Drosophila melanogaster: one gene and its partner. The protein of the gene in region 1 interacts with the protein of each later gene in a pairwise test. Each region holds a gene or a part of one and is shown in the gene's direction. Other genes may lie near its edges.

Region 1 (8,474 bases):
ATCGAGCGGCGATTGACGGTCAGCGGCCGAGTGGTGGCCCTGCCCACGTCCACGTCGTCACCTAGTGACCCCACTCGCCTACCGTCCGGGGATCTACTTCGCTATCTGGAGAACAAAGTGCTGGAGTTTGAGGAGTCGCACTTCTGCGGTATTTGCATGGAGCGAAAAAGGGATGTGGCCTTCCTGTGCGGGCACGGCGCGTGCTCCCATTGTGCCGAAACGCTCCGCACATGCCACATGTGTCGCAAGACAATACTCAAGAAGATCAACCTGTACTGAACGGCGGTAACGGAAACGAAAGAAAAGCAAAGGCGGCAGGATCAGCAGCAATTCAAACAGCAACCAAAGTGGCTTGTATATATACATACACAAAACAAACACACACTCACATTGCCGTGTCATGTGCAAATCGAAATTATTATTTATTGATCACAAACGAAATTTACGAGTTCTTTTTTAATCGGTTCATCATCGGCATCGTCGCAACACGCAACAAATTAATGTGCACCTTCTCGTGTCTAGTTATTAGCCCCGTTTAACCATGTCTGGTAACGATAAATACATAGGAAACTAACTAAAGCATACAAATATTTAATAGTCATTTAAATGCAAATATACAAATATAAAATTATTTAATTGAGTGAATTTCAATCGATGTCGGTGGTTAGCCTACAGAAAATAAAGATACTTTATTTCTGAATATGCTGGGGTGACTTTTAATTGTATTGGTATTTAAAAGGTTTAGTTTAAAATTGAATATATAATAAGTTTAGAAAGATTTTAAAACTGAAATGTTGTAACGGCAAAGTGTGAACAAGTTATTTTCTTTCAGTACGCTGCATAAATTTTAAATGTTTTGCATTTTTGTAAGCATTGACTTGGCAAGCTGTCGGATCTTAAGCTCCGTTTAAAAGTTAATGTAAGCAAAAGCGGCAAAGTACAACTTATAATTGAAAATATACACAAGTTTATTTTTTATTTGAGCGAAACAATCGATACCTCCAGATTTACACGCTAATCGATAACAACGTAGCCAGAAAAAAAGCAAACACGTCACAACACTTTGGCCGCAGTCCGACGCGAAACTAAAGTAAAGGACAAAATGGCCAAACAAGTGGCTGATTACCAGTGCAGTAAGCTCCAGTTGTACCAAAAGCTGGCACTGGTCGTAATCCTGGGAGCAGTGCTTTTCTCGCTCCCGGCGTTGTGCGCCGGCCAGGGCAATCCCAGTTTCAAATACTCGCGGGAAGCCAACGAAAACTTCGATCCGCAGAAGGCTCCACGGGCGGAGCACCATCATCATCATGATCATGACCACGATCATGGACACCACCACCACGGGCACGATCATGATCATGACCACGACCACGGGCATGATCATGGACACCATCATCACGGGCACGATCATGATCATGACCACGACCACGGACACCATCATCACGGGCACGATGAAAGGCACACCAAGGCAAAGCCGGATTTGGGTAATCAACGAACTACCACTCTTAAAATGCCCGAGTTGACCCAAATTTCTTATAGATATGAGCACCATTTGGTTGCACTCGATCGGCTCAACTCTTCTTATCAGTGCCGCTCCCTTCGTGCTGCTGTATATCATTCCCCTAGACAACAGTGAGGCGATGAAGCCGCGTCTCAAAGTGCTTCTGGCCTTTGCTTCTGGCGGTTTGTTGGGTGATGCCTTTCTGCACTTGATTCCTCATGCCACGCATCCACACAGTCATGGAGAACACGGCCACGATCACGGCCATGATCACCATCATCATCATGATGGCGAGGAGCATGAACATGGTCACAGCCACGATATGAGCATTGGTCTGTGGGTCCTTGGAGGAATCATTGCCTTCCTTTCAGTGGAGAAACTGGTACGCATTCTAAAGGGCGGTCATGGAGGACACGGCCACAGCCATGGAGCACCAAAGCCAAAACCAGTGCCTGCTAAGAAAAAGTCCTCTGACAAAGAAGACAGCGGAGATGGAGACAAACCGGCAAAGCCAGCCAAGATCAAGTCCAAGAAACCAGAAGCGGAGCCAGAAGGCGAAGTGGAGATTTCCGGCTACTTGAATTTGGCGGCGGACTTTGCTCACAACTTCACCGATGGCCTGGCCATCGGCGCCTCCTATTTGGCGGGCAACAGCATTGGCATTGTGACCACTATCACTATTCTGCTGCACGAAGTGCCCCATGAGATTGGTGACTTTGCCATTCTTATAAAGTCTGGCTGTTCCAGGCGAAAGGCAATGCTTCTGCAGCTCGTCACAGCGCTCGGAGCTTTGGCGGGCACAGCGCTAGCTCTTCTGGGAGCTGGAGGCGGGGACGGATCGGCCCCATGGGTCTTGCCCTTCACAGCCGGCGGTTTTATTTACATCGCAACAGTGAGTGTCCTGCCGGAGCTGCTTGAGGAGTCTACGAAACTGAAACAGTCGCTGAAGGAAATCTTTGCGCTGCTAACCGGCGTAGCCCTAATGATCGTTATCGCCAAGTTCGAGTAATATCAAAATTGTGGAAAGTTAACACAAAAAAGATCTAATTGCATGTACTGAAAGTGTGCCGCAAACAATTTGAAAGATTTCTGTTCGTTACCTACTCAAAACGATGAGCAACTACTTAAATTTCTTATATTTCAACAGTCAGTAACCGCTATTAGTTCCCAATATAAACAATGCGGCGTTATTTAAGATTTTTTAAGCCTTCCAAATTTGTGCTTCACTTCGAAATGAAATTTTTATAAATAGTCAAAATTACACTGTAAAAAGAATCCTCACTGGCGCTTCTCTCCATTCAGGGTTGTCTTTATCTCGTTGAGACAATACTCGGCCTGCTCTACGGCATCGGGATTCTGGTGTTGCTTTCCCAGTTTCCACGCCAGTCGGCAAGCGTTCTCCGCCTGCGACATCAGGCCCTCGCGAAGATACACCAAACCCAGATTTGCCTGCAGAATGCCTTCCTGGGTGGCATCCTTTAGCTCCTTAGTCAGCTCCATGGCCTCCAAAAGGGTCTCCCTTGCCTCGGCGTACTTTTCCAGCTGTAATTAGTCTAATGTGTTTCAAGTACTTTGGAAGAATAGACGCACCTACGTTTACGTACGCCACACTGATGTTATTTAGGATGGTTACAGAGGCGTCGTTAACGGCACCATAAACATTTATGAGCGTGTCGAAGGCCTCCTTAAAGAGGTTTTTAGCCTCCAGGTATTTTCCCTGCTTCATCAGCAGCTGCCCGAACCTGGAAAATAAACATAAGGAAAAGTATTGAAAAAAGGCTTGGTTAGCGGCAATGGAAACACCTTCAATACCAATTCTTTGTCAAGCCATACAGCTCCAGTATGTCCTTGTCGTCGGGCATTTTCTCCAGTAGCTTAGCCAACTGCTGCAAGGTCCAAGTGAACCCTTGAAAGCTCTTTTCCAGATCCCCTTGCAGCTGAGACATGTGTGCTATCTTGGAGCTGATGTGAAGTATCTAAAGATGAAAGAGATCTTAACTGGTTATGGTGTCTAAGTGGGTCACCCACCTTGGGACTCTCTTCGGTGTGACCCTCGGCAAAAAGCCGTTTCATAACGTCCGTGAATATCTTCTCCGCCTTCTTAAACTGCTCGCGTTCCATGGCCAAATTGGCCATCAGATCAAACACATATGTGATGCCGTCCTTGCTCTGAATATCCTGCGCCATTCGCAGAGCCAGGTGAAGCATTTGCTCGGCCTTGTCGTACTGTTCCCTCTGAATGCACAGGATTGATCGTTTGATGGTCTTGATCAGTTTTTCCTCCGGAGTTTCCTCTTTTTCGTCGGCGCCACCAAACAGATTCAGAGTGAAAGCAGCGGAAAATGCCCAAAACATTCCACCGGAAGAGCCAGAAGCGGGCGGAGCTGCCCAGGACACCTCGTAGCCCGCAGCATTGGAGCACAGCGGTCGACATCCGAATTCTGACCGTTGGTGATAACGGCTTCTCTTCAGCGGCGCAAGATGACAGTAATCTCTGGGATTCACGACAACGCGGAACCTGCCCATAACTTGCGTAAACTTGCAAATATTTCTCACTAACATGTTTAGGGCTTTATTAATTATTTAACTAAAACCTATAATGTTGCAGGTATGGTATTAAAAATTATGAAATAGCACGTATGTAGTGTTGCAAAGCGCGGTAAAGACGTTTTAAAAGTACATTTCGTAACGCTTGATTAAGAACATAGAAGACTTTTAAATAATTTCTACTCTATCATACTTTCGCAAATATATTTATGTTTCGTTAAGATTTCGTAAACAAAGGTTTTTAAATTTTTTAGAGATGACACTGTCAAACAAAACTTTATCGGCAACTTTGGTACCTAACATTTCGTTCATAAGTTAAATCTGCGAACAAAAATAAATTGATAAGTAGAGTTATTAACAATCTCGAATAAAAAACATTTAAGTACATTTGATAAAGTTTTTCGTAATAAGGTACTTCCTTCCCCCATCGCATACGATACTATCGATAGCCGTCAGCGGGGCGATAGACCGAGAGAAAGCATCCCTGTATATTGATGGCGGATTGACGCTCTTTCGCCTAGTAAAATTATTTTTCTTATCAAGAAAAGGTGCAGAATATAACGAGGAGTGAATTCGCAAAGCAGTGCATGAAATAGCTGTGGGTCCGCCGGCTGTACCTACGTTTTATTTCAGATCTTTCCAGCGTCGCAGCGAGTTTCCAGCGATTTTCGGACAGCCATGAGACGTCGCAGCGAGCGAAAAAAGTCGTCGTCGCCCGCTCCGGTGCCGGTGGCAGTTGCACGGAGAAGTCGCCGCTCCCGCAAGGTGTCGGAGAACGAGAAGACCGAGGTCGAGACTCCGGTCGTGGCCCAAAATAATGAGGCCGAATGCCCCAAAGTACCGCCAGCCTCTCAAGAAATCAATGAGGCGCGGGCATCCAGTGAAGAACGTGCCGGATCTGGAGCATCGCCAGTGCGCAGGAGTCGCGGCAGCCGGACGACGCCTAGAAAGCGCACGGAGTCCAAGGGCGGCGACAAGAAGGTGGACACCATACCCGAGGAGGAGCCGGAGAATGGAAAGGATGTTGAAAAGGACGCTGTCGAGGAGGAAAAGACTGTAGCGCCACCCGCGGCTAATGAGAGCGAGTCCGAGGACCGTGCCAAGACGGAGGATCAGCAGGCTCAAGACGATGAATCCTGTGCTGAACCCGCTGTAGTCAAGGATGATGATGTTGAGAAAGAGGACTTAAAACCGCAGCAGGAGGTCCCCACTTCCACTGATGATGACACCAAGCAGAGCGAGCCAGAACAAGAGGTAAAGGTTCCTTCTCCTTCCAGCAAGGATGAGGAACATCTAAAAACGACTAGTGATGTATTAGACATTCAGACAGAAGAGGTCGATGAAAGGGACGAAGAAGCCTCCGCTCCTGCGGAGCGCAGAGAAACCAAGAAGAGGCACAAGGAGCAGATAAAGGAACAGCAACCCGCAGAGGAGGAGGAACACAAGGAAAACCACAAGCAGATAGACGAAAACCCAGAACAAATTCACGATGAACCAGCAGATCTTTCGAACGACAAGCACGATCCATGTCTAAACAGCAGCGCAACCAACACAACCGGTGCTCCAGTTCTGCAGCAACAACGGTCGGTGCGGAAGCGAAAGTGGCTGACTAACAAAAAGTCTTCGGATCGTACCCCGCCCGTGCTTGCCATTTCGACGGATTCCCTGAAGAACATTATAGCCGATGTGGTGCAGCCAGTGCCCCTAAGCGATGTGCAACTGGAATCGTCCTCAGAGGAGGAAGGCCTGGTCACCAGCGATCGCGATTCAGAGCGATCTGCTTCACCGGCGCCCCCATCTGAAGCAAGCAAAGACCGCGATAACAAGGGCAATACCGCCAACACCTGCGACACCACCGCAGAGGCGTCGGCAGATAATGAAGGAGCAGGAGCCGCTCCTCCAGCAGCAGCAGACACGGTTTCAGCCCAGGTCAGCCTGAGCAAAGCCACAGTTTCCACGGCAGCACCACACATAGTCCGTGACCCTAGTCCTGCTCGAAACCGCGCCAGCCACGTGCTCTATATCACCAATTTGGTACGCCCCTTCACAGTGCTGCAGCTGAAAGGCCTGCTGGCGCGGACGGGAAAGATCGTTGAGGAAGATGGTTTCTGGATAGATCGGATCAAGTCTAAGTGCTATGTTGCCTATTCCACTGAAGAGTAAGTATTGTAGTTGCGCAAATAGAACCTAATCTCCAGGGAGTCAGTGAAATATGCCTATAAAAAACTCACACTTGCAATTATTTTGCTTTTCAACCTTTAAGCGAGGCCATCGAAACCCGACATGCCCTGCACGGAGTTCGCTGGCCAGTGTCAAATCCCAAATGTTTGAATGTAGATTTTGGCAGTCGCACTGATATGGATCGGGCAATACTTTCAACGAAGGACGAGGCTCCGAGGTACGGGCAGGAAAACACCAGAGATAACCAGCAGTCGGGCAACGCTTGGTCCCGGTTGGAACCGTCTGACAAAAAAGTAATGGATTATTATCACAGCATAGAAATGCGGAGCTAACTTGTCTTTTTCCTTCAGCCTGCGCGACCTGTACGCGAATGGGATGTTGGCAAAAAGGAACCAAGCGACCACGACAAACACAGCAACGACAGGCGTCGGGACAGCAAGGATCGACTGGACTCGAGGTCTAGGGATGCGGAGCGAGCCGGACAGGAACGAAAGCGTTCTAGGGACAGAGAGGGGCGAGGACGCGATCGGGAGCGGGAGCGACTTGATCGCAATGCACATGCAAGGAGCCGCAGTGGATCGCCAGGTAAAGCCCGTGGGATACATTTTCCTGTCATGAGAAATTCAAAAACACCCCGTTTAAATAGCGTCCAAAACTAAGAAGGAGAATGAACCGCCTATCAGACTACTAGATGATCTATTTCGAAAAACCAAGGGAACACCTTGCATATACTGGCTGCCACTTACGCCGGAAGCGGTAAGTTGCTGAGATAAATAGTTCCAATCAACGAGAATCACTTCTAGACCAAGTCCGCCTGAACAATAAAATTTCTTCCGGCTTTCAGATCGCAGAAAAGGAGGCATTCCGTCAGAAACGCATTGAGGAGCACAAGCTGCGTATTAAGGAACGGGAGGAGCGCCAGAAAGAGCGGGAGAAGGATCGTGACCGCCAGCGCGAGACGCGTCGCAATCGTTCCAACGAACGGCGACGATCTCGCAGTCGCGAGCGGGAGCGAAGACGTTACTAGGCGGAGGCTTGAGATTGAGCAAATAAATGTTGATATCTCAAAAACTAAATCAACATATAAAAAAAAACTTCAAGAAACAGCAACTAAAACTTCAGCAGGGTCTCATCACCACCCGAATAATTTCAATTCTTTTCTTTCGAGCGTTTTGCGTTCCCAATTAGGCCGACGTTTGTAATATTCAACTTGAACTGAACCGACTTCAAATTGAATACTTTCGCCAACGTCTCATCCACATTCTGATTTTGAGATTTCAAACTCTCTTTTCTTCGTTATTTTTCTCATTGTTGTTGTTCCATATATATATAGCATATATATTTCCATATATATATATATAACCTGATTTGATTTCTTTCCTCAAATGTAGCATTTTACAGCGCCTAACGTCACCTCACCCCAAAACGAAACCACAGCAACCAGAAATGCGCCGGCATCAGATCAGCATCAACGCCATGGAAACTTACCATCGGACTCTTGAAACTACTGCAGCAAGTTACCATGCTTATATCTATTCAATAAACAAACATAAAATAATTGATTAAAATATTGTAAAATCAAATATTTCTTAAAATTTTAATGAACTTAGAAATACAATTTAACATCAGTCGGCAAGCTTGTGACAATGCCAAAACCCAAAAATGTGTTTTAAATGTCTGAGAAATATGCTTATCGCACGACTTATTCGAACAGAAAAAGAAAAGAATGTAATTCCTCAAAATTATAGAAAATGTTTTTGATTCGTAAGAATCATGGTATTTAGAGCATATTATTATAATTTTAATACTCTTTAATTTATATATAAGGTCAGATTTATAAAGTATGAACTTTTTGCCATTTATTTACTTTTCCTTATCAATTTTTAGTAAAAACACTGCTTTTATTAATAATCGCGAGTCTAATTTATTGATTAAACTTAAAAAAGAATAAATGAAGTTGTCCGTTAAAGTACCAGAATACCCCCAACAATAAGTTCGTTTTAATCGATAGTCCATGTTAATAAGCTATCGGAGCCGCTTAATGATTTATGTCAATAGTGCTATCGATGAGTTTTAATTTGTATTAACATTAATTTAGTGAAAAAATGTGGTCCGACACAATATTAATTGTTTTTATATCGGTTTGCACCGCCTTCCTGGGCGAAGGTAAGTAAAACGCCAGTTAATTTAGTTAACCCTACATATTTGTTTGCCTAGGTCTTACATGGGTGATGGTTTACCGGACGGA
Region 2 (5,161 bases), 1.6 Mb from region 1:
CCATAGCAAATGTATTTGCGGCCTGTGGAAAAGAGTTGTGCACAAAACTAGAGGCTCAAATCAAGCTGGGAGCTGATTCCAAGCAGGTCGTGGATCTGCCCAATCTGCAGCAGCAGCAAAACACCCAGCTGGCGAATGTTCTGTTCTACTATAAGGATTCAGTGCGTCGCATGCTCAGTGATCTTCATGTGCACTTTGAAAAGACACCGGGAACAGCTAGGGAGATTATATCCCGATCCTTGGAACAGGCTGATTTACTGATCGGCACCATTCTACAGCAGATAATGGAGTCGATTATCACGACCATTAGCATCATTGTATTGAGTATGCACAGGGAGCCGGGATTGAATTCGGAGAGGATGTCTACCACAGGTCCGTCGATGTACATGAAGGAACTGCAGGTGGGTGGGAATTTGAATGTAATACTTGGCTAGTCATATGTCTCAATCAAACTATTAGGAGTTCGTCAACCGATCCTGGTCGCATCACATCGCCCTGTTCGATGACAAGCAGATGACGAAAAAGTGCGGACACGAGTTGGCCAAACGTTGCATTGAGCTCTTCCTGCACAATGTGTGCATTCTGCGACCTTTAAGCTCCTGCGGAAGGCAGCGTTTGAAGCAAGACTGTCAACACATGGAACAGGCGTTGAAACCTCTTTGCCCAAATCTCGCCGAGCTGGGAAAGCCGTCGCGTCTGCTAAGAGCCATGTCCTTGCTGATCGTCCAAACGGCCGAGGAGCTGGTCAAGCAGACAATCGGCGAGGACTCTCTAGTGCCCAGTTACATAGTGCTGTTGCTGCTCTTCGGACACGCTGGAGCAGATCTGCAGTCGCCACACACGACGGCCAACTGGTCCAATGAGCGGCTGATCGAATGGCTGGATGGGCACACGGCTGAACGGGAGAAACTAGAGCTGATCTCGGGGGCACTGCAACGGTATCGGGACAATGCCAGGCGAAAGAACATTCAGCAGTACGACGAAGTTTACCCCATGATGGTAGATTATTTTGAACAGGCCTTAAAGGCACTTCCATAAATGTCTAATGTATTATGTATCTAGAACTATGTATGTATGTATGTAAGAGCACGAATATGTTTGGAATAAACATATGCATGGCATCCTTCTATTAAATCATTGTACTCAGTTCCTTCCGCTAAATGAAGCTAATGAGTTTCTTAGAATAACTTATTGAGTGGAATAATGATAGCAGTGAGAACTTGAGGCTAGAGGCTTAAAATTGAAATTATGCGAGGTTGTGTCATATTGTCATTTGATTAAATTAATTTTGGTAGGCAGTTTTGGCTGGCGCTATATGAATAAATGGAATTCCATGGTTAATATAAATGATACTGGTACTTACTCAAAAGACACATTTTGGAAGATGTTTCGTATTAAAAGAATAATTCTTACTTATTCGTCATTAACATTAAGAGGATTTCAAATAAAAATATATCACTACATCGTTTGGAAATAGTTCCTCCGGAATATCGGTATTTATATATTTTTCACATTTATATCGATTTGAAATAGGCATTCAAAACAACGGTAGTAATAACTTTTTTAAACTATCGATGCGTATTCAGAATAACGGTACTAATAACTTGTTCTAACTATCGATGTGTATTCTGAATAACGGTAGTACAAATTTTTCCCAACGGTATATCGATATCCATCTGGGTTTTTACTGTCTCGAGATCTGGTCACTCCCCCGTGCTCACCATTTTGTTTGCAACGTGAAAAACTCTCATTTGAGAAACGCTGTCATCCAATTTAACTGCAACGAAAACTGTGTAAAGTAAACTATAGACGCTTGAAACCTCTGCAAATATAGTGCGTACCACTGGCCAAGAAGATGGACAACATAGAGCGACTGTACAAATGCTACGAGATTCTGTCCGAGGCGGGCGATAAAATATCCGAAGTATGCCGCCATTGCAAAACGTGCCGAAAAAAAAACGGTATATGATACATGGTCTAATATATATATGCATGTTTTTTTCGAATTGCAGCATGTGGATGAATATAAAGAGATACTCAAGGCCGTGAAGGGCACGTCGAAGGAGAAGCGCCTGGCATCGCAGTTCATTGGTAACTTCTTCAAACACTTTCCGGATTTGGCCGACACAGCCATAGACGCGCAGTTTGATTTGTGCGAGGATGACGACACACAGGTGAGTGGGTGCCATAAAGTTACCCAGCTGATACAATAGGCTCGGAATTTTTGGCCTGTATGCAGCTGATGTGTGTAAATAAATCGAAATCCCCTGTAATCCTGCTCCGTATCTTGACAGCTTAAGATATCCCACATATTCCACAAACTAAATATCTTTATCATCCTTGTAGATCCGCCGCCAGGCCATCAAAGATCTGCCGAAACTGTGCCAGGGAAACGCAGATGCTACCATCCGAGTGGGTGATACTCTGGCCCAGCTGTTAATCCTGGACGATCCCACAGAACTCCAGCAGGTCAACAACTCACTGCTGGCCATCATAAAATTGGACACCAAGAGCTCCATCGCCGGATTGTTTCAGCAAATCTCCACTGGGGATGAAACGACAAGGGAGCGCTGCCTCAAGTTCATTGCCACCAAGCTGCTGACCATGGGTCCCACAGTTATTACCAAGGAAATCGAGGACTATATCGTGGAGGAGATCAAAAAGGCTTTGCAGGATGTCACTGCCGATGAGTTTCATCTGTGCATGACAATTCTGGGAGCCACCAAACTGGGAAGCACCATCACGGGACACGCCGAGCTCGTCAAGCTGGCCACGGAGCAGGCGGAGCTAAATAACACAGACGCGGACATCATAGCCGTCGACGACGAGGTGGTGGAGCGATTCATTCAGTGCGCCTCTGCTGCGGCTCCTTACTTTTCGGTAAGTTTCCAATAGCTGCACATGAAATCGAACCCCTGGCGAGCATTTAAATCGAATCTCTTGCCATTCCTATAGAAAACCATCAAATCCACGGCCTTCGTGGCTCACGTTTGCGATAAACTGTTGCCCATCAAGACCTGGAACATGATCGCCACTGCAGTTTCGCAAGATCAAATCCAACTTAGATTACTAAAGGTATTCGCCGAGATGATAACCAACACAGACAAGCTGGACAATGCCAGCGAACGGATTAATGCAGTCTACAATGTATTGCTGGTAAGTGTACTTGGTACATTCGAAATTGAGCGAATAACATGTAAACAATTTCCAGGAATACATGCCTTTGCCAAAGCTGAGTGACGAGGATCTGGGAGATACACCGCCCTCGTTTCAGTTTTCGCACGCCGAGTGCTTACTGTACGCATTGCACACTCTTGGAAAAAATCATCCAAATAGTTTAAGTTTCGTCGAGGATGCAGAGAAACTAAAAGACTTTCGAGCTAGATTGCAATATCTTGCAAGGGGAACACAGGGGTAGGTTCTTGCAAAAATTTTATTCTGTTTACATAATTTATTTTATAATACTTGCCTTGTAGTTATATTAAGAAACTGGAGGAGTCGCTCAAAGGCAAGACGGGAGAGGAGCTCAAAACGGAGGAGAACCAACTGAAGCAGACGGCACTGAAGACGACATCAAACATCAACATTCTGATCCGGGATCTATTTCATTCACCGCCCATATTCAAACATGACATTGTGCTCTCCTGGATTGTGCCAAAAAATGTAAGCACACAAGTTATCTCTTACAGCTGATATATTTATAAACAATGCAATATTCTTGTGCGTTCAGAACAAGCTGGGCAAGCGTCATGCACCCATCACTTTTGGGGAGAAAGCCGCTGCTAACGGCAAGGATAAGGATCAGGAGCCAGAGAAGAAATCGCGGCCATCCAACGATCAGAAGTTTTACTCGCCGCCATCTGGAAAATACTCCAACAAGGTCAACCAGAGCTACGGAAACAACAATCGCACGAGACAACGTGGCGGCGGCGGCGGTGGCGGCAGCGGTGGAGGCTACAGAAACAGGCGATTCAACAAGTACTAAGTAAAGAATCAATCGTGAGGCAGAAGAGCAGCAAAGAACACTTCACTTGAATGGTTTGTCCCTAGTCCGTAGACATACAAAAAAAAAAAAAACAAAAACAAGATATTGGATGCGAGCAGAATAAACACAACTGTTGCGATGCTGCAGCCAAGCAATTTTAAAGGAAACAAAACGAAAGTGGTGAGTATTCCGTGCAATTTTCATTTAACTTTCTCCCCTTTGTCTCCTTTCAGCGCAACATATTTTCATGGAAATTAAATGCAACATTTTTACATCCATTTTACTCATACACTCACGCATTGCTTTTATTATTTTCGTTATAACATTTGTTTTCGCTAAAGTACTTGTGCAATTTTCCAAAACACGCCACGCCTTCTTTTCATACATTTCCCAAAAGAAAGGCGCTGGCATTGTTTGAAATTTATATCACTCCTGTTTTTACCTTCAATTCTGTCAAACGCATAAATATAAGATTATACCAATAACCAAGTGAACGAATATCAATATAAAACCTACTTTCAAGTTGACCGCTTTGAAGATAATGATTTTCAAGCGACAAACTGTTTGCGACAGATCGGCATTTGTTTTAAACCCATTAGTTTTTATTTGACATGTAATATCAAATTAACAATTGTACCATTTAGAGATGCAAATCAGCAAAAAAAAAACCCCTAGCATACATTTCTTGAATTCAATAAAAGCAACATTAAATTACATGCACTGTGTGATATACTTGTTTAATTTTGTTAACGACGGGCAACTAGAAAAATATATGAGGCATTATAATATATATATTTAATATTCATTGAAAATTCGATTGGAACAGCGGCAATTTGCACGGTCATTTATTTATTTCCATTGGATAAAAATGTATATGTATGTATGTATGTATGCGTAATAGAAGCCATTTAAACATTATAAATACATTTATAGTTTCAGCTTAACAACTTAATCTGTGTGCCGCCGATCCAGGCAGGGATCGGGGATCGGGATTCTATCCACTTCTAGGTGCTCGGTGGTGGCTGATTGCCCGGCTGCTGTTCATTGCCAGGATTTGCGTTCGAATTGGGAAAGCCAGTCAATTGGCTGGTCATGTTATAGATCATTTGCACCATGTCATTGGGCAGGGTCGGGGCATTGCCGCCGCCGAACTGCTGGCGAATGGTGTTCATGATC

Evidence for each region. Proteins that work in one complex are often made in the same cells at the same time.
Region 2: the proteins of Acn (region 1) and cass interact in a two-hybrid assay, tested with the Drosophila melanogaster proteins (2 studies listed by BioGRID).

What each region holds. Positions count from the first base shown.
Region 1 is NT_033779.5:19,040,844-19,049,317, forward strand, and holds Acn (acinus), read left to right. Parts: upstream 1-4,511; 5' UTR 4,512-4,723; coding exon 4,724-6,204; intron 6,205-6,308; coding exon 6,309-6,519; intron 6,520-6,576; coding exon 6,577-6,811; intron 6,812-6,872; coding exon 6,873-6,982; intron 6,983-7,070; coding exon 7,071-7,253; 3' UTR 7,254-7,974; downstream 7,975-8,474. Other genes in the region: mib2 (mind bomb 2), read left to right, coding at 1-279; Catsup (catecholamines up), read left to right, coding at 1,103-1,481, 1,537-2,507; Ttc19 (tetratricopeptide repeat domain 19), read right to left, coding at 2,777-3,040, 3,093-3,240, 3,311-3,474, 3,527-4,060; CG10470 (uncharacterized protein), read left to right, coding at 8,332-8,392, 8,444-8,474.
Region 2 is NT_033779.5:17,474,412-17,479,572, reverse strand, and holds cass (cassowary), read left to right. Parts: upstream 1-1,684; 5' UTR 1,685-1,855; coding exon 1,856-1,924; intron 1,925-2,012; coding exon 2,013-2,174; intron 2,175-2,346; coding exon 2,347-2,880; intron 2,881-2,955; coding exon 2,956-3,156; intron 3,157-3,211; coding exon 3,212-3,414; intron 3,415-3,476; coding exon 3,477-3,663; intron 3,664-3,730; coding exon 3,731-3,985; 3' UTR 3,986-4,661; downstream 4,662-5,161. Other genes in the region: fws (four way stop), read left to right, coding at 1-401, 460-1,038; Sgt (small glutamine-rich tetratricopeptide containing protein), read right to left, coding at 4,990-5,161. UniProt on the Drosophila melanogaster protein: Antiapoptotic factor. Also known to efficiently suppress E2F1-induced apoptosis.